Caenorhabditis elegans: one gene and its partner. The protein of the gene in region 2 interacts with the protein of the main gene of each other region in a pairwise test. Each region holds a gene or a part of one and is shown on either strand. Other genes may lie near its edges.

What was found.
Region 1: the proteins of oatr-1 (region 2) and K04F10.2 interact in a two-hybrid assay, tested with the Caenorhabditis elegans proteins (one large-scale study listed by BioGRID).

Annotation. Positions count from the first base shown.
Region 1 is NC_003279.8:6,353,254-6,364,906, reverse strand, and holds K04F10.2 (Protein KATNIP homolog), read right to left. Parts: upstream 4,070-11,653; 5' UTR 4,064-4,069; coding exon 3,966-4,063; intron 3,923-3,965; coding exon 3,786-3,922; intron 3,254-3,785; coding exon 3,090-3,253; intron 3,034-3,089; coding exon 2,655-3,033; intron 2,306-2,654; coding exon 2,158-2,305; intron 2,106-2,157; coding exon 1,774-2,105; intron 1,439-1,773; coding exon 1,328-1,438; intron 1,281-1,327; coding exon 1,181-1,280; intron 1,138-1,180; coding exon 996-1,137; intron 943-995; coding exon 847-942; 3' UTR 735-846; downstream 1-734. Other genes in the region: K04F10.3 (Vacuolar protein sorting-associated protein 28 homolog), read right to left, coding at 4,749-4,815, 5,283-5,485, 5,580-5,747, 5,795-5,977, 6,022-6,115, 6,159-6,232; rde-3 (PAP-associated domain-containing protein), read left to right, coding at 6,512-6,688, 6,733-6,971, 7,021-7,239, 7,287-7,379, 7,431-7,516, 7,567-7,765, 7,837-7,962, 8,009-8,195; Endoprotease bli-4, read right to left, coding at 8,449-8,563, 8,614-8,767, 8,821-9,048, 9,669-9,777, 9,829-10,007, 10,863-10,935. UniProt on the Caenorhabditis elegans protein: May regulate ciliary A-tubule number and, along with arl-13, controls cilium integrity.
Region 2 is NC_003281.10:6,391,550-6,401,361, reverse strand, and holds oatr-1 (putative ornithine aminotransferase, mitochondrial), read left to right. Parts: upstream 1-5,426; 5' UTR 5,427-5,427; coding exon 5,428-5,667; intron 5,668-5,713; coding exon 5,714-5,923; intron 5,924-6,004; coding exon 6,005-6,318; intron 6,319-6,370; coding exon 6,371-6,563; intron 6,564-6,616; coding exon 6,617-6,755; intron 6,756-6,804; coding exon 6,805-6,977; 3' UTR 6,978-7,124; downstream 7,125-9,812. Other genes in the region: smrc-1 (SWI/SNF-related matrix-associated actin-dependent regulator of chromatin subfamily A-like protein 1 homolog), read right to left, coding at 7,687-7,890, 7,936-8,436, 8,482-8,679, 8,726-9,176, 9,228-9,607, 9,671-9,812.

The DNA of each region.
Region 1 (11,653 bases), on a different chromosome or scaffold from region 2:
ACTTGTGAAAATAAATGCAATAAACGCGTCAAGTAGAGCTTATTGACGCTATTTTGGTCGCTTGCAGAAACGTTTCACTTCTCTTGGTCGGGGTGCGCACGGAAATTAAGATTTGAAAATTTGAAATTTAAGGAATTGTGCGTATTTTTTGTGTCAGAATAACTAATTTCACTCCAAATCACGTCTCTTATCCCGATTTGGAACAACATGCTACTTTCAAGTCAGACTGGAAATGTAAACTTATGGATTCTGCCAATTTTATTCTTGGCTCAAATTCAACAATAGGGCAGTTGCCATTATGTTTACATCAATTATTTGTTAAATTTAAATTTGAATAAACTGAGATTCTGATGCTTTCAGCCTGTACCTCAAGCATTTCATTTTCTACCCTCACTTCCTCCTCCAATCCCTGTTACACCACTGACCCTGGCTCTTTTGCAAACAATGTCTTACCCAGTAGAAATTGCAACTTAAGATTCTCTACCACAAAACTGAACAACCTGATCCACAACCACCAACATCTGAACCATCTATAGAATTTAAAATGGGCACAACTTCGGTTTCCACTTACTATCCAACACATTTCATATTCATTCTTAAAGTTTCTTCCCGTTGCGACCCATTGCCACTCCTAGTTTCGGGGGGCGCTTCAGAGCAGTTTAGAGTGTGAGAGATTACTGTAAGCTTATTAAGTATGTGCATAAAGTCGTAAAAAATTAATTTCAATGCTTCATCGAAAAAAATCAATTTATTGAAAGTTTTTTCAACACCATGGTCATTCAACAAAAAGAGAGGACACAATCACAATTGAAAACCGGTTCTACAGATTGGGATTCCCAAATAAAACTAAATATCCATTAAGTTAATCTCGAGATTTCCAGTTAAAGTGGCCGTGCTTGATGGAATTTCACCAGAGAAGATTATCAAATCATCCACAGTTACCTGAAAATACATTTAATTGTTCTATTTTTCAGGTGTTCTGATAGAAAACCAACTGAAATATGTCGAACCCCGCGTTCAGGGGTTTTGCGATAATTGTAGATTACAATTTTTGAGATATATGTCTGAACATCAAACACAAAAAAGACTCGAGCACATCTATTCGGAAGAAGAGCTGTCAGCCACATATTTCTTGCTCTGAAATACCCTATTTATAAGGTAATAGGTTGAAACAACAAACATGTCAGTATCATTAGGTTGTGTGATTAGGTTATTTGAAGTACGCAAATCATTTTTTATATTTGGAAGAATGTTTACACTTTCTGGAAATGCTGCCAAGTCTGAAACATAACTGATATATTGAATATTTCATAAATTGAAAGTTTACTATGTTCTCTAATTTTCATGAGTTCTCCTTTCCGATTATAAAGTTCAATTCCATTGAGTCCAATGTAGAACTCATCACCCCATGTAGATAAAAGACGAATTTGAAATACGACTGAAAATTGGATTTTTTTCATTCTAATAGTAAGACAAGAAAAATCAAAGTTTCATGGTTTCCAGAAGTTCAAAGCAATTTCGCATGTTGATAATCTACGATACTAGAATAATAACTTGAATATAATTGAATTTTGAAAATTGAAGAAAATTATTTAGTGGACTACCAAAATTATGATATTTGCAAACTGATTATGAGTAATACGTTCTGGAAACAAGTTCCTAATTTATTAGTCCACTTTTGAAGAACATGAAAATTTGAAAAAAAAACGCTTCAGTTATCAAAATTGTTTAACTTTATCAGTTTAAATTTTTTTCAAAAGTAGATTTACTTACATCCACCAATACTTTGACTTATTCCCTTTGGCACAAAATCTCTTTCAGTGTTATTTGGGTCAAGAACCACATCTTGCACATAATCAAAGTATACGAATCCAGTAGCTTTTCGTAATAAAACATTCTTGATCAATTTTCCATTTATGTAAATCTTAGCTGCCTTAACTCCGGCGTATGAAAGTTCAAAACTAGCATTATAATTCCAGACGGAAATTGCTTTCAGAGCAACGTTGTCATGAAAAGTTATTGAAATTGTTGTAAAATTCTTTGAATCAAAGTCAACAAGCCACATGTCATGAGGATCACGAGTTAGGTTTCGACCGTTGAAAAGTCTGGAAAAAAAGAATCATGAAGAAAAATCTGAGACTAATGCAAAGAACTTACTTTTTAGATAGATCAGAATTTCCATCGGAAGTGGTCACTGTGTACTGTGACTCATCAATCAATTGGCTATGTTCATCCACAAGTTCTAGTCCAGTAAGTCCAATCAAACCATCCATTCCCCAATTGGAAAGTAGTTCAATATGAAGAGCTGCAAATATTTTATGTTATTGCTGAAAAAAAACTAACTATAATTTTCGAACACTAAACTTTTGTGATGGACAGCCAGTCTATGTCATATTTAGGTAGTTTTCGGTTTAATTAGAGCACGTTAAATATAGACAATGAATTATAAATTCATTTTCTACGGATTTTTAAAGTTAAACTTGAGATTATGTATCTTAAATGAGATATGAACTTCCAACGTACTGGAGATCAAGAATTATGATATTTTTTAATCCAGAAAAAAAGTGTTAAAATTCAGAACAGTTATAGAAAAAAATATTGTTTTTTTAAAATTATTTCAGGTAAAATATTTCTATGAAAGTATTAACTCTTACTTTTCACATCGTGCTTATAAGCTGTCCCAGTTTGCCTGAATATTGGAGGTGGAACTATGGTAACAGGAGTTGATGGAGCATCTTTTGCTTCACAAGTTGAAGGCCTATATGGTGTTAAATGATCCGCTTTTAACATTTCTATTGATGAATTTGAAATTGGTTCTTCAGGTAAACTTATCAAGCAAACATCGTGAAGAGCAATGAGCTCCAATATATTATCAGAAGTAGTGAAAAGAACAGTCTCCCCCATTACAGGTGTAAACTCAGAATCAGCGGAGAATGCACATTCAAGTTCTCCTCGAAATATCCCAACTCCATCCAAATACATTTCAAGGTAACGGACGCCAATTTGAGCATGAACTCTTGATGCATTGTAATTCTAAAAACGTTCTCATAAAAACATTAATATTTCACACATGAAAGAATAATTCTCACCCAAAATCTGATAAGTGCAAGTTTGCATGTTTCTTTGAGTTCCAAAGTTAGAACTATTTTCTCTTCCGTCGTTTTGGCACACCACATTTTTTCGGCGTCTTTGCAATGAACTCGTTGAACAATCAGAGATTCGAGACTTCCAGTGTACTCAGTCACATTTGTTGCTATCGGAAAATAGCAAAGTTTTGAATTAAGAATAATCTATTTTAATATTGAAATCCTTATGATAAACATCGAAAACTGCGAAGTTATGATAAATCTACGTACAACAATTTGGGCATAGTGGCATACGTTTTACAATTAAAATTTACTATTTCTGAAGGAAGTTAAATTAGCGCGAGACTTTTCATCCTCATCAGTATTTACCGATTTCTATTCGTTTTTTGTATATTTTCGCGTCGTGTCAGGCTGTATAATTTCGGTATGATCTACAAAAAATTCAAGAATTTTTCGCTGTGAAAAAACTTAAATTGTTGAATATATTAATAATTCTCTGAAACTACTATTTATAGTAATTACTATTTAATAAATAAACTTCGTATTTAAATAAAATCGAAGAAAGTCTACAGTACTAGCGGATACGGTAGCTGTGAAGTCTCATTCGCGTTAGGACCAGAGTACATGATTTTCAGTGGAAAAGCAATAAGTAAAAAAAACAAAGAAAACGACTTTACTCTGAATATTCAGAAAAAACACTAACTTTGTCTATAACAGCTCTTTCTCCTGTTGACGTGAATATTTCGACAGAATTTAGACCAATATAATGAGAATCTCCCCAATTTGAAAGTAACCTGAGCTCTAAAACTCTACCCTCCGGTAATTCTGGAATTGTGCTGAAAATGGAGAAATTGGACAAATGTTTGAAAAAAAGCTTACATTTCATTTTGATCTTCTTCATTCACTTCATCTTCAGCTGGTTCTAATTTTATATTTTCCGCATTTTTTTCAATTTCTTTCAAGTCAGAATCGGACATTTTCCTTCAAGAATTTGATTTCAGAATAATTTGTGTAAAAAGCTTCAAAATGAAAATGGGTCGTAAGAAAATAACGGAAAGGTAAGTAACAGCTATACGGGTGAAAAATAGTGAGAGAATCAGAGAAATTCCCCCTTTCTCAGGCTTCACTGCTCTCCGTTGTCATGGAAAAAACGAGATATTGTGTGAAAAGAAGAGAATTTAGAGAAATTCATAATTAGATATGAGAAACTGGTGGCAGGTGCCTTGTAGTGCCAAATGATTAGTCGACGGATAAAAAATAAATATGAAGAAGCCATTTTTAAATTCTCAAAGTGAGAAATTCAGATTTTTTCATGTCGTTTGTTGATGTTAGCTCACACGTGAGCATGTTGCTTGGAAAATCTGAAAGAATAAATTCATTTCAACGAAATGGTGCAATCAAAAAAATCAAGCATCTACAGTACATATTTTCAAAGAAAATAAGCAATTATGTGTGGGGAAGGAACAATACAAGTAAATGTGACAGGCAGAAAGACACACAGGGACCAAATATTGAAATCTGATTAGGAGGGAAAAAGTGAGGTCAAAAATAAATAGTACAATCATTGCAATACATTTATAAACGAGTTGGTGAGAGATTCTAGTTAAGGAATTTTGATATGACAGTGGATTTTCTATTTTTCGATTGTGAAGAATTCAAAAGTTAGTTTGTAGAATCACCAGCAGCGTTGTTATTCGTTGGTTGAGTTTTTGCAGAACGTTGATGACTCCTGAAAACAAAAAGAATTTTAAAGACAAATCATGAGGTAGCAAATTTTTTGGAAAAAATATTCGATCATATTTTATTACGACGATTTCGAAAAAAATGTACCATTTGTAAATTTTCGAAAAAAAAATTACTGGAAACTTATGAACTTAAAAAAATTGTTTTTTAAAAAATTTAACAAAAAATACACTGGACAAAAAACTAGTAACTAGAGTCAAAAAATGGCTAAAATTGTTAAAATTTCAACAAAAAAATCTTACAAAATTTTTTCATACTATTTGCATATTTTTCCATTTATTATGAGTTTTTTGGTACATTTCCGTCGATTATGCAAAAATTTCATCTATCGACCAAAAATCGCAATCAATGAAAAATTGTCGTGAACGACAAAAATATGTGATAAATAAGTAAGAATTACTTTGAAGCGTTAAATTTGAAAATAATTTGAATTAAAAATTTATAATAATTTACCGCCATAATGACACCAAATCTTTCACATTTGCTTCCCGAATATCTTCCATTTCGAGCATCATTCTCATCAAAAAAGTCTCAATTTCAATGGTTTTCTTTAATTTTCGTCTGTTTTCCGACCGAATTTCTTCGCGAGCAATGGACTGATCGACGAAGAGTGTCATCTGAGCAAATTCGTCAATAATGCGTGTGTTGGCTTTTTCCTGAAACAAAAATGAATAAAAAGCCTCAATAAAAAGCCCAAAAGCGCTTGAGACCTCAAACGTTTTTAAATTTTGAGTTTATAAAATAACTCACTATTGCGTTATCTATAGCTGCTTGAGAAACTTGTCTTGGCCTTTCTCTGACGTTCTGAACATGTTTGACCATCATCTGCCGATGATTGTGCATAATTGCTTCAAGAGCTAACATCAAATATTCGCGAAGGCATCGAAGCTCATGGGTGTCTTTTTGTAGAAGAATCAACTGAATGAACTCGTTTTTAGGGTTTTCAAAAACATTGGTACAAAAACCTCTTGGTGGCGGCTCGTGTCGTTTGAAGAATTTTTAACCAAACAAACTCGTCCATCCGCATCCAAAGTGTAGTTTTTATTGTTTAGTTTGTTAACTTCTTCATTAAGAAGGTTTTGATGTCCACCATTCCGAGCTAAAAGCGATTCGAGGGTTCTTTTACTGCTGGCGATGCCGTCACTTGCCTGCAAGAAGATTAGTTATTGAAACACTAATACATTTCACTTACAATCTTTTTATAACTCTTGTCAAGACTTTGATTAAGCACGAATTTCTCCAAATTGTTGATAACCTTCTGCGAACTGGCGCTATCAGTCCTGTAACTTTTGAAGCGATAAAAACATTATTATGAACAGATTGACTTACCATTTTACAGTCGTTTCTGCAGAAACTTGTGCTGAATTTTCATCGGGAACAAAAATACTTTCATCATCGGACATGCTTCGCTTTTTTGATTAAATTACAAAAAAAAATCGTTGGAGAAACGAAGAATGTGCATAGTGCACGGAGAGTGCGCTAACACAACTCCTTTGCGCGGTATCGGTGCGAGTCCGGGAAATTCATAAAATTGTTTATTCGTTTCTTGGAATGTTAATGTTCATTTTTATACAGCAAGCACATTTGTGCATTTCCTTCCAGTTTTTTAAAAGAATTATATTGTCGCGCTTTATTTCACCTCCAATGAGAATAATAATTGAATATTTTTTGTAGTAACAACAATGTCTCAACCAAATAAAGATCAGCGAAGTCCAGAAGACATAGACTTTAAGGTCAAAGCGAATCCAAAAGCGTTTCACAAATTTAACGGAAAGTTTCAACGCGTTTTAAGGGATCACGAGGACGATTTCAATATATTGTCTATCAGTATGCAGGATCATTTCGATACTACGAAACAGGTTGCTTTGAATTAAATGAAAAATTAAGAGTTCCTTATTTTCAGCCAAAAGAGGAGTTCGGTAAAAAAATGGATTGGTGCTATCAGCTGAAGAATATAATTTCGAAGAACAATCCAACGTGGCTATTCAATATCGTGCCAACTGGAAGTACAGTAACCGGATTGGCCACTAAAAACAGTGATCTAGACGTTGCAATTCATATCCCACAAGCGGCAAGAGTTCTGGAACAAGAAGAACGTGGAAGAAATATCACAGATGACGAACGACAAGCATCATGGAGAGAGTTAGGCTTTCTCGGGATTAATTAATTATTTAAATGACATAAATTACAGAATTCAATTGGAAATCCTACAAATTGTCCGTCTTAACTTACAAAATGATGAACAGATCAATTCAAGAATTAATTGGGAACATGGAATCCAGCTCGTTCAAGCTCAAATTCAAATTTTGAAAGTGATGACGGTAGACGGAATCGATTGTGATATCAGTGTAGTTATGGATCGATTTCTGTCATCGATGCACAATTCTTTTTTGATTCGACATTTGGCACAGTTAGTTTTCTTGTTGTTAGACATTCTATTTCCAATTAATTTTGAAGTATCGACGGCCGATTTGCACCATTATGTGCAATCGTAAAACAATGGGCAGCCAGTACAAAAGTTAAAGATCCAAAAGATGGAGGATTCAACAGGTTAAATATTAATCACTTTATTTGAATTTATCTAAAATTCTGAAATTTCAGTTATGCACTTGTTCTACTGGTGATTCACTTCCTCCAATGCGGTACATTTCCACCAATACTGCCAAATTTGCAAGAAATCTTTAAAAGTGAGTGAATATATTCTCTGTTGTTTTTTTTTCATAATTAAACATTTCAGAGGATAATTTCATTGCTTGGGATGACAAAGTCTATCCATCAATTTTGAATTTTGGTGCACCACTTCCCAAGCCTCTTCCTAGAATTGCCCCAAATAATGCTCCACTGGCAAGATTGTTCATCGAATTTCTATATTACTACTCGATGTTCAACTTCAAAGAAAACTACATTGGTGCCAGGCCTGTAATGGTCATGGATCGGTAGATTTTTTTTTCTGTGAATACAAATTAACCAATTGGATCTTCTTCAAAATAATAAACTGAAATTTCAGAAGAACATCACAAAACAATATGGTTCGTAGTTCAACAAACAAAGAGGTGTGTATTCAAGATCCATTCGATGAGCACAACCCGGGAAGAACTGTAAGAACATTGAATAGAATTAAAGATGTTATGAGGTAACCTTGAAGAAAACACAGATTTTAATTAATTGCTTACTTTCAGAAGCACATATCAGAAGTTTCTCCCTGTCGAAGGCTCCGAATTCACGTTTCCTACACTAGATGATATTATCAATATGTCACCAGAAGTGCCTAAACCATCGCGTGCAGAAGTTCGAAACTTCCGAGCTGAAGCCACAGAAGTGAATCGAGTCGGCTTAGGTGTCTACTGTCGGAACTCATTTGTATAGTCTTAATATGTCGATGTTTTGTCTTGTGTAATTAATTCAACAATCTATTTATAACATGGAAACAGTACGGTATAATAAAAATAAACCCGGTATAAGACAAAAGAAACAATACAATCACATGATAAAAGGCCACTTGAAAACGTTTCAGGTTTTAAAATTTTGAAAAAGAAACAATTACCCGGATTTCACAAGCATACACAAAGAAGTTGGCAGAAAAATTACAATTAAAAACATGAATTTTGAAAGGTTTGGTTTAAACAATTTGAGGGTTCACAAATACTTCATCCTCATCATCGTCTTCATCGTCAGTGTGTGCTCCTAAATTGATAGCACCATTTGTGGCATTATATTGAGCAAGCGGCGCATATCTAAAAATATTAAAATTCGAATTACGGAGACGATAACTAGCAAGGCTTACTCTACGTTTGAGCTTTTCGTCTCACTTGCACACTTTTTACAGGCACAGATTCCACAAGCCGCAATCAAACTAACTACAATCCAGAACATCAATCCAAATCCAGATGATTTATTAGAATCAATCAAAAGTGTAGGATCCGGCTTGGAGCAGTCCTCTGAAAAAATAATTGTGAGAATACCTGGAAGATTTTGAGAGTGTCTTCCTTACCACATTGCCAACTCTTTGTTGATCCTTCAGGACAACACGGTCTACAGTATCCAATCGATCCTTTACCATAACCTTTTGAACATTTCTCACAGCTCATTGGACCAGGAGCGGTGCAAGTTTCGCATGAGGAGTCGCAAAGATCACATTTTCCAACAGCGTTGATGTAATATCCGTCACCACAAAGATCTTTTCTCCAGATACATTTAGCTTGAACAAGATTCGATTCATCTGAAATTTCACATTGTTTAAACAAAAAACTTGTAACATGAGGAAAATGGTTAGAGGCCAAGAATTTCAGATGTAAATATTCTAAGAGGAAAGTTTCAGTGTAGAAGTAGGATTTAGCCTGAAAAAAGAAAGCACTCAAACATTCACACACAATACCAAGTTTTTCTTCCTTTGATTTTTCTGCTGTAACTTTTTTCTTCTTCAAGATCACTATTTCCAGACGCGAATTTTGGCAATTTTCATAAAAGAAATACGGTACCCGGCCTACGACAATTTTTGTCAAATTCGAAAAGCTGAGAGCATTTAAAGAGTACTGTAATTTCAAACTTCCATCGATGCGGATTTTTTTAAATCGATAAATTAAATCGATAGATTTAAATCGAAATAAAGTTTTTCGATAAAAAAAATTTATTAGCAAAAAAAAAACTAAAATAAGAGAGAAAAAATAAAAAAGTCTAAATCAACAAGTTTCAAATTACAGTAATCTTTAAAGGCGCTCGGCTTTTTGAATTTAACAAACACTGTCGTGTCGCGACCAGATTCGTTATTTTTGGCGCAAAAATCGAAATTTTCAGCGTCTGGAGATTAACTTTTTATTCTGAAACTCTTATAAAACTTACAATCAGCAACCAATCCTGGAGGACATGACTCAACACACTTTCCATGATCATAGTGTGGCATATTATCCACATCAATGAGCAAAAGACTTCCAGGACACGTTTCACACACCTAAAATTATAGAATTATTTTTTTTTGGCAAACAATTATGTCACCAAATACCTCAGCTTTCGTACAAGTATGACAATGGGATGAGCACATTTTACACTTGTCACCATCCAAGTAGTAAGTATCATCGCATTTTTGAACACACTTGAATCCACTTCCTCCTTTATTTCGAAGAGTTTGAGTTAAATGTTTGCAAGCGAAACATGATGTTGCTGAGCTCGATTCTGTGCAACCTGTAAAAATTCAAAAATTTATTAACAGAAATATGTCTCATATGTGCATTTTTTTTTCGATTTTAATTCAAAAATACAGTAACTGGTATCGACACCACCAATTTTTTAACGCGAAAAAGTTTTACATTGAGGAGTACTGTCGCGAATAGCATGGAGCAGGATCTCCATTATTCACGACTTAATAATTATTCTATAATTATTGCATAATTATGTACTCTACAATGGACGCTAACAACACCGAGCATTTCTATCACCATCGCTCAAGGAACAACCAACAGTCAGTGCTAACAAAGAACAAGGACCATATTGCCAACCTTGGAGGGACTTCCCGAATCAGTTCTTGCTTTATGTTCTTGCGTTACTTGTCTATTAGTGTTACTAGTTGTCTATAATAAATCCTTGTAGAGTCACCAAGTGTACTGTTAGTTTAACTTATATAAAATACCACTGAACGCACTGCAAAACAAGTACTGTAGCTCAATTTTTTATAGATTTTCCTTAGTTTTCTTAACATTTTATGTATTTTAAAGTAAGATAAACTGCTTCAGCACAATTCTTCAATGATTTTTGAATAACATGAGAAAGCTTTGAAAATCAGAGAAAATCGAGCAACGCGGAAAATGTGGAAACTACAGTATTCCTTAAAGGCGCGCATTCTTTTGCATTGAAAAAATCGGCCGTGTCGAGACCGGGTACCGTATTTTTGAAGCAATAGTCGCAAAATTTCGCATCTGGACAATATTTCCAGTTGATTTTGAAATTTCTGCAATGTTTAATTTTTGACTTTGAAATTTCTGAAAAAAACCGAAAATACTTTTTAAACATTTATAGTAATCGCGAAAATCAATTCCTCACCTCCATTACATTCATCATGACAATTTCCAGCCGACGTCAAATCTGGAAATGAGATCGGAGCAGACTCTTCAACCTGTAAAACAACGATCTACCGTAATATCTACTGCGTTTCGTAAATTCAAAAAAGTTTTGGATGGACAATGTGGTGTGTTGTGTGTCTGCGTACCTCACTATCTCTCACTACTTTTTTTCAAATATTGTTTAAAATAAGAAATCGGATTAAATTTGTTCTGATAAAATGGATCATCATGCCGGGACGGAAAGCAAGAAACAAAACTAAATATTTGAGGATAATTGACAATAAGTACAAATAGACACACACACACACCACGACGTGTACAACCATAAAAGCATAAATAGGCACAATATTGGGATTACGGTAGATCGTGATGAGACCCTGAAAATTTGATGGGAACACAATTGAAACACGTATTTTCAGTACCCAAAATGAATTCATATAGTCTCAAACCGCGAATTGGCGATGAATGGCATCAAAAATACAGACAAGAATAATCAAGAAAATCGGTTGAAATTTGGTGAAAGAGTATAAAAAACTATGGGTACGAGAAGAAGAGTTCAATTCTTGTAATGATTTATGTTCACGAGCATGCTCCCAATTCCAATGTGAACTCTCTTCTAATGTCACTTCCCAATGATTTCGAATTCTTTCAACAACTTCATCACCCTACAATTGAAACATGAAACAATTTTAATTGCAAATAAAAATAAGTTTGCAGGGATCCTGATATTGCACGTCGAAATTTCATCTTTTCAGTAAAACTTATAGAAAC
Region 2 (9,812 bases):
GAGAAAAGCTTAATGATTGTGCACTTTCACTTCTTTCTTTGTGAGGAGCAATTAAAATGCAGATGGACCTGATGAGTCAAATAATATTGACTTTTGGAGTTTTTGGGAAACATGGAGCAAGAAAAATTCAGGGGCTCGGTACGGTGTCAAAATTTTGGTAGTGTCTGAAGAACGCATGTGCCTTGTATTTTAAATTAACTACAATTAAATTATTTCTGCAACTGAATTTCCTGGAATTTCCTGGTATGACTTTCCAGCCAATGTTAACAACATCAGCTTACGTGTGTAAAATAGTATATAAAAAAGGCTCCACCAATATCTTGGCTCCATAAAGCATTTTTAAATCAAGTTTTTGTTTCCTTACTGGACGAGTCTGTAATTCGCAGGTTATGATTTCAAAGAAAGTGTGCATAAATTATGATACAACCACTGCAGAAAAAAGATTCCAAAAAGCAAACCAAGTAGACAAAAACAGCAACATTTTCGTTTTGCAGTGTCCTCCCAGAATAAACTTTCTGTCTTATTTTTATTTCTATGTGAGTGTCACCACTTTTCTGTCAAACCACCCTCGGTTGTATAACACGGTTTTTATATTTTTGCTTGTTTGCGCGACAAAACGGAGGAAAACCCCCCTGTAAAACGTTTAACGACTCCGATTTTTCTTCATGATGAGGGACAAGATTTGCGGGAAAAAACACTGAAAGTTGCTAAATGATGAGGAAAGACGAAGAGTGTTGATAGGATAAAATGATTGTTGATTGTTCTTTGATTCGATTTTATTCTTTTTTTGTTGGCTATTAATTTAAACTGCTCACAAGGAAAGTTTTTTAGTTTGACTTCAAAACGTCAGACTTCAAAACGAGACATGTGTCATTCGAAAGTGTTCCATAAGGATATGTCACTGCAAAATTTTAAGCGGCAAAGCTCCACTCTCAACCCCTCTAGCATCGATCTGAAACTATTTCAGTGCATTTTTTCACTACTTTGGAGGCCTGTAGAATTGCTCCAAAATTTTTTTTTGCAAACTTTCAATGTTTTATAGAACGTTTAAAAGTAGGAAAACAATCTGGGAGATTTTCCACTCGAGTGGAGTGAAGAAATTTTCACATTTTTTTCAAAAAAATTAAAATTTTCCAAAAGTCTCCCAGATTGTTTTCCTACTTTTAAACGTTCTGAAAAACTTTGAAAGTTTGCAAAAAAAATTTTTGGAGCAATTCTGCAGGCTTCCAAAGTAGTGAAAAAAATGCACTGAAACAGTTTCAGATCGATGCTAGAGGGGTTGAGAGTGGAGCTTTGCCGCTTAAAATTTTGCAGTGACATATCCTTATAGAACACTTTCGAATGACACATCTCTCGTTTTGAAGTCTGACGGTAAACTAAAAAGCTTTCCTTGTCAGATTAAATAAATAAAGAGATTTGAGTTTTATCGGGTTGTTTTTTTTTTAATCAATCAACTATTTGAATAAGTTGTTTAGTATAATATTCATATTTTCTTGGATAAGCGTGGCAAAAAGGGTCCGCGAATTTAGATTTTTATAGTTTGAAAACATATTGCATTCTTCAAAAAAAGGTAAAAACAACTCTATAGACTCAAAAACCAAAAATCTAGAAAAATCGAAAATTTTCGATACTATAGAACCGGGAAGTATTAAAACAAAAAAGATACGAACTTTATTCTTCTGTTTAAATCAAATCAACAAGCTGTATGTTGCAAAAAAGAGCACAAAATTATATGAAAAAGACAAGAGAACATAGCTCAATCAGGATTTGGTCCAACTAAAATGTTACGAAAATTCAATTTCTTCCTAGAATTGTTGGCCGCTGGACATTTTTTTCATTCTTTTCTTTTGCAAAAACTGAAATATTTGGTTGGATAGAAGGATTTGATGAGAAAAATGTGTTCATTTTGAAAAAAAGTTACCTAAAAATTTTTTATTAAAACTTAAGATTTGTTTTTAAAAAAATGACCCATGTTTCAGAAGCGAAGAAAGACCATTTTCTAAAGTTACGAGCAGGTTTCCAATTAAAAAAAATAAAAATTGAAGTAAATGTAGTAATATACTATAGACTTTATCTAGTTTTACCGACCTTTTTGTGATTCATACGTTTTTCGATCACAATCTCCTGTAACTGAAAATTAACCGAAAATTACTTTAAAATATATTAATAACCGATTTTAAGGCGAAATTTCCGTCTTGGATCCGGCCACAGATGCAAAATTATAAGCTACAGTACTTACAAGTTTCTTTATTTGAAATTTGTTCCCAGATTCTTTTAATGAGAAAGATAGAAATTAATTTTAAAATATTCTAAAACAATTAGAAAAACTAAAAACGCAAACAACTTTAGGGGGAAAATTGCCGCGTCATTATTTACCGCACTCTTGAATTCCTAGAGACTCAATTTTGCAGAAATAATCGCAATTTTCAAAGCAAAAAATGATTAAATGTTTTAACACAGAAATCTAGAATTTTATATTAAAATAAAAAAAAAACACTGACAGTTTCTAGTTTTTAAGAGGAAAAACATGCCGTTCGAATTTTTGAATATTCCTAAATATTTACGATTTTATTTACAAAGTTGATTAATGTTCTCGTATCACAAGATAACATTTTGTGATAGCAGGTGCTGATACTATTAAGAAAGAATTTGAATTTATATAAAAACCTTTCGGAGAAACTTCATTTTTTGTTATAAAAAATCCTTCAAACGCTTTCTGGAAATTTCATGAGTATTCAAAAGTTTAAATTTTCAGATCTTCTCAAACAAATAATTTTGAGGGCTTTATTTTCTGGATATGATATTCGAAAATGATAAATGGCAAAATAAAACTGAACATTCATTTTTAAAAAGATTAGTTCCAACTAAGTCAGAAGATGAGTATCAATACGAAGATCAAGAACTTAAATGAACAATGATTGAAACAGAATCGAATACAAAGAGGAAGACCAATGTGCCAAGAAGTGGCAACTGTTACGTAGAATAGTGTGTCTGGCTTTTGGTTGCAATTTAACCAACCAAAACATAAGAGATATGTGACGTCAGTGGAAGGAGATTCATTGGAAAAATGATACGTCAATTTGACACTAGATGATTTGTTTTCTAGTCAATGGGAGTAGTTTTTTATGATGACGACACAGGCTCTGGTGGTGAGGGACTTTTTGGAAAGAATTCTGGATAGAAATCAAGATCCTGGTGCACGTCTGAAAATACTGGGAGATAAAAGGGTGCAACGAAAAAAAAGTCCTGGAACACTGACTAAATAATCTTTGATCGGAGTTCCCATTTATCCCTGTAAATAGTTCAGGATCCTAATATTTGTTTGTTGATTCAAAATATCTTGGTTCTGAAAATTATCAGAATTTATTTTTGAATATGGAGTTATACTACACAAGTGCATACGTTTTATTTATAAAAAAAATGCATTTTCTGGTTGTGCTCAATAAGATTTCTGAAAATAACAGTAAGGATGAAAGGTGTGGAGATAAAGCGTGCCAAGCAGGTGATTTTGTCTCCAAAAAGTTGTCACCCGGTAAATAAATACATTTAAAAAATAAATAGAACATAAAGAGATAATTAAGAAGAAACATCTATTTCTCATAACGAACCTCTTGATCCTGAGAACTCGCCTCGGCAGTACCGTAACCTACAGTACTCTCAACGTTCGCAAGCCTGCAACTTTTCTTCTTTGTTTTTCTTCAAAGCAGTATCGAAAATCGGAAATTTTATTTTTGTGGTTTCTCAACTTTTAGATACTCATTTCAGAGTGTTTCCAGTATTTAAAAAAAAAAGATTTTCCAGTTTTCCAAAACCAAGAATTGGCTTGAGCCACATTTATTTATTTATAACCAGCAAAACGATTTTGTTTTAAATTTTCTTAAATATTCAATTTCTATATTTTTATCATTAAAAATCTTAGTCTTTCAAAGGTTTTCGTGATAAATCTATCCTTTGGGCAAATTTTGTTTTCTTTTTGAAATTTGAATCTCGCGCCGAAAAAGTAAGCTTCTCATCTGCCGTGTACTCCTTTCGGACAATCTGGATTTTTTGGGCTTTCCTTGTTTTTTCTCTTCTTTGTGCTTATTTTCTTATTTTCTTAACTTATTTTCTTGAAAGAATTTGGTTTTTTTTGTAAAGTTAAATTTTTTCTATACTTTTTAAAGTGTGAATAATTTGTTTTTTTAGAACTAATTATTATCTTTTGAAAGCGGTTTTCCAGCTCTCTCTAATTTTGCTGCTAAATATATTTCCATACAATTTTGCCGTTCCCAGTATTAAAAATAATTAAACCGAATTCTAAACAAACTTTCGGAGCTGTTTGTTGAGTTGCAGCTCAATAAATTTCTTTTCCTTTTTTTCTCTGTTCCTCTGCCCTCAGTGCTGTTGTTCCACAACACAACGAGTTCCTCTCCTTGTTTTTCCTGCAAGATTTTCATCTTCTCACCCCCAGAAAAGTTGAATTATTTGTGTCGATTCAGTTGCAAGATTAGACTATAAAATAAATAAGCGATGGGCTGACCAACACATAAATTACAATCCAATTATTCCTTTTCACATAGGGGTTCCTAGCATCAGAAACTAAAATTGAATGCATCTATAATCCCATTTTGTCTGATTTTTGTCTTTATTATCATTTCGTTGAAACGTGTAATCAACGCCACGATAAGAGATCAACCACGAGGAGAAGGGCAAGAGATTAGAAGAATCATTAAAAGTTGAAGGTTGTCTTATTATCTCTAAATATCTGTCTGTAATATCAATGATAAGATTGGCAGAAACCTGTTTATTCCACTGAAATTACCAGAATTCTTTGATTATTTAATTGTGAATTTTGTAGGCGATGGTGCTCGACCTGGTCAGTTTCTTATCAGAAAAAAAATATTTCAAAAGTTGTTTGTTTCCTAGAATTGTTTTATTGCTTATCAGTTCATAAAAACTGATTTTCAAATTCAATGTCACCATCTTTCCTGACAAAAACCTTTATCATGGAGTTAAAAAAGAACTTTGCTCGAGAATTTTCATTATCTACAGAAGCTACAATTATTTTACTTCTTATTCTAAACCTTCTTTTCTGTATTTAATAAAATTTATAAAAACTAGATCCTAAAAAGCGATAAAACAATTTTATTAAATTTTAATAGCGGAGCATCACGTTGGAAAATTTTGAAACTGTAGAATTATTTCCAATAAACCTGCGAGGAAATTCTTAAATTCAGGTATTTAATAATAGTTCTTCATTTTGAAAATTCACTAATTTTTCTGTCCCGGCTACATGCCATCCATTCTTATTATTTTTTAACCAAACTTCTCTATCAGCTCCGCCTCCCATGGCCTTTCCCACATTCCCACTTTCATTTTGATTCTCTTATATCATTCTTTCTCCCTTTTTCTTTATCACTTCTTTATCAATCTTTCATTACTTGCAGAATGTTGTCCTCCCTCCGTCGTGTCGTTCCATCTCTGCCACGTGGCTCCCGATCCTTGACCTCTCAGCAGATCTTCGATAGGGAGAAGAAGTTCGGTTGTCACAACTACAAACCATTGCCAGTAGCTCTTTCCAAAGGAGAAGGATGCTTTGTGTGGGATGTTGAAGGAAAGAAATATTTCGATTTCCTTGCTGCCTACTCTGCAGTTAATCAAGGGCATTGCCATCCAAAACTTCTCAAGGTTGATCGAAGAATTGGAAAGATTTAACTGAATTTCCAGTTTTTAGGTTGTTCAAGAACAAGCTTCCACATTAACGCTTACCTCCCGGGCATTCTACAACAATGTTCTTGGAGAGTACGAGGAATACGTCACAAAATTGTTCAAATATGATAAAGTTCTTCCAATGAATACTGGAGTAGAAGCTTGCGAGTCTGCAGTAAAATTAGCTCGCCGATGGGCTTATGATGTGAAGGGTGTCAAGGATAATGAGGCTGTGGTAAGTTATAAATTTTGACTTGAAATTAAGTATTGAAATTCTAGTTTTTCCAATTAGATTTTGAAAAAAATTATATTGCAGGTTGTATTCGCTGAAAACAACTTCTGGGGACGCTCGATCGCCGCTATTTCCGCATCCACTGATCCAGATTCATTCGCAAGATTCGGACCATTCGTCCCGGGATTCAAAACTGTCCCATATAACAACCTGAAAGCTGTTGAAGATGCTATCAAGGACAAGAATGTCGCTGCATTTATGGTTGAGCCAATTCAAGGAGAAGCTGGAGTCGTGCTCCCAGATCCTGGATACTTGAAGGGTGTTTCTGATCTTTGCAAGAAGTACAATGTTCTTTTCATCACTGACGAGGTTCAAAGTGGACTCGGGCGATCTGGAAAGTAAGAATTAATTCCTAATATTGTCAAAATCTGAAACAAACTAAAATTTCAGACTTCTCGCACACTACCACGACAACGTCCGGCCAGATATTGTTGTACTCGGAAAAGCGCTTTCTGGAGGATTCTACCCAGTTTCTGCAGTGCTCTGTGACGATAATGTTATGATGAACATCAAGCCAGGAGAGCACGGATCTACTTATGGAGGAAATCCATTGGCCTGTAAAGTGGCCATTGCTGCCCTTGAGGTAAGTAAATTTTATAACTGCGACCAAGTTATGTATGAATGAAAAAATTTCAGATTCTCCAAGAAGAAAAGCTCGTTGAAAATTCCGCTGTTATGGGAGATCTCCTTATGTCCAAACTGAAAACCCTTCCAAAAGATATTGTATCAACTGTTCGTGGAAAGGGACTTTTCTGCGCAATTGTCATTAATAAGAGTAAGTTAATATTCCAGTAACAGATATAATTAATCCCCACTATTTTCAGAATACGATGCTTGGAAAGTATGCTTAAAGCTGAAGGAGAACGGACTTCTTGCTAAGAACACCCACGGAGACATCATCCGATTCGCTCCACCACTCTGCATCAATAAGGAGCAAGTCGAACAGGCGGCCGATATCATCATCAAAACAGTCACCGATTTTGCAAAGCAAAACTAAATTTTTTCTGGGATTTTGCATAATAATGTCTCGTACTCGTCCCGTATTGTTCTCACGATCCAGATGCTGGTAATTTTTATAGCATTCGATGACATTTTCTTTTTTTGCGTATCGCAAATTTTGAGCTCTAATAAAGCTTCATGGTTTTTGATTTCTATCTTTGCAAAAATAGTTCAAAAGTTTAATCTTATCGTTGAGAGAATTGGAACACCATCGACGGAACAGGTCTCCATGTTTTTTTTAAGTCTTATTTTCTCTCAAGCATCTCTTATCTCTATATTATCCTGATAAGGTACCTGTCTCCACCAACCGAATAATTCAATTTAAAAGAAGCAAAGGTGTTGGTAGAAATTCAGAATTATCTTCTCTTCGGAGATGTTCCTCTACAATTCTGCCTCATTTCTAAATTATTAGTTGTTTCTATTTATAATATTTATTCTATATTTACTCCAATTATTCCGACGTCGCCTCGGATCATTTCCCGCTCAATGTGTCATATCTGCTCTAGTATGCCGAAAATCGTGCCACACACTTTGTACAATTTAAAGAAATAATTTTTATATAAAAACAAGTTGAGATATTGAATAATACACTGTGAACCGTAAAAAGAAGTTAAATTGAGATTTATAAAATGAGAGCGTAAAATATGAAATCATTGGAAACATGGAATTTCACAAATGTGTCTGAATCCTGGATAAAGAGCTGATATTCAATTTTTGATACGTTTAGGAGCTGGAGAATCACAGATGATTTCCAAGTCATCATCCTCTTTTTCCTCTACAGGATCTTCCCATTCATCAATCGTTGTATCTGGAGTCTTTTTGAGATATTCTGCGATGCCAGGCTGCGCGGCATCATTGAAACGGAGATGCATTTTGTCAGCAGTACGGAATGTGTCACTTGACAGGCTGACCTGAAATTAGACGCAAAAAAATATATAGACAATTAATTGCACTACCTGTCCCAACACATCTAATTTCTGCTGAACCATATTCCACATGACATCATCAGCAGTTTTCTTTGCGATCAAATATTGCACGAAGACACTATCCTTCTGTCCGACTCGATGAGCCCGATCCTCGGCCTGCACGAGGTATCCTGGATTGAAGTGAATTTCAGCGAACACGACGACCGATGCGGCGGTCAAAGTGATTCCAACACCTGCTGCAGTGATCGAAAGAACCGCGACACGAATGTTATCATCAGTCTGGAATGAGTCACAAAGAGCCGTTCTTCGATGTGATGGAGTCTTTCCATCGATTCGAATTGATCCAAGTTTTCGTTTGTTCACTTCCACTTGAATAGTGTCAAGAACGATTTGATGATGTGCGAAGATGAGCACTTTCCGTGGTGGAGCATCTGGATAGAAGTAGTTTTCGAGAATGTGCTCACAGACTGCAGCAGCTTTGACAATACCAGTAAGACTGTAGAACTCGAGAAGAGACTCATGTTTTCGCTCCTGAAGCAATTTTTTAAAACAATATTTTAAAATATTGAAAATTACCATTGAATTGACTTTTTCGTAATCAGCCCGAGCCTTCTGCAAATCATCCATTCTAGCATCAATTGTAGGTCCTGACACATAGACAACTTCACGACGTTTTTCAGGAAGATCTTTCAAGACATCAGCCTTTAGACGTCTGATCATCAATCTTTTAAACATGATTGCGGCGAGCTCTTCGCTGTTTGTACATCCTTTTGCCTTAAAAAGATAGTTATTTAAATTTAAAAAAAACGATCCACAGTACCTCAAAGCAAAATCTTCCTTGTTTTCCGTCACAATATCGTATCGCAAATTCATGAAAATTGGTGAATAACTTGTGATCGATCAATCTGATCTGTGTGAATAACTCGGACGGACGTGATAATGCAGGAGTTCCAGAGAGTAGGATCACATGAAGTGCCACTTTTGAAAGATCAGTTGCCACCTTCGTTCGTCGTGCTTTTCCGTCTTTCAGCATGTGAGATTCATCGAAAATAATTGTTCTATACTTTTCCTTTTTAAGTATATCATGTTTCAAAACCATTTGCTCGTAGCTCATAATCGCGACTGTGTTGGAAGTACAAACATCTGGCAAAGGATCGGAGGATTTGTCGACGATGAAAATTCGATGAATTATTGGGAAGAAAGTGTTGAGCTGCTTCTTCCAGGCACCTTTGACAGAGGCTGGACACACAATGAGGAGAGGCCAGTCGGCTCTGAAATTATTTATTACGATCTTAAGAGATTAAACTATCATCGGATCATACTTGTAGTATCTTGCAATTGTCAATGCTTGAACCGACTTTCCTAATCCCATTTCATCAGCTAATAGGATCCTTCCATCTCTTTCCAATGCAAATATCACACCTTCCTTCTGATAAGGAAAGAGTCTTTCGATAAGTGATGGATCCATAACTGTATTCAAATCACTAGGCGCTGCTTTTGGTTTGAAGTTCGTTAATCCTATAATATTCTGAGGAAGAGGTTCGAGTTCCACCTTCACTGCTGTTGCATTCTTTAAAATATTACTGATGGTGATGTGATCGGAAGAAGCTACTGTCCAGGATCTCTTAGCGGGATCGTAATTTCGACTTGGAACTTGTTTGATGAGATCGATTACTGCCGAATGAAATGGATAGAATTCAATCTTAAAATATATGTTTATATATGTTAAATATATGTTAAACTACAAATTTTTAAATTTTATTACCTTAATTCTATCACCAATATCCAACTTGAGTTTCACCCCAATCGTCGGTTTAATCAAACTTGTCGGTTCTGGCTTCTGAACTTGTTTGATGTAGTTGTTTATAGTCGATTGTTTTGTGCTATTGTTCATAGTCGGCTTCATT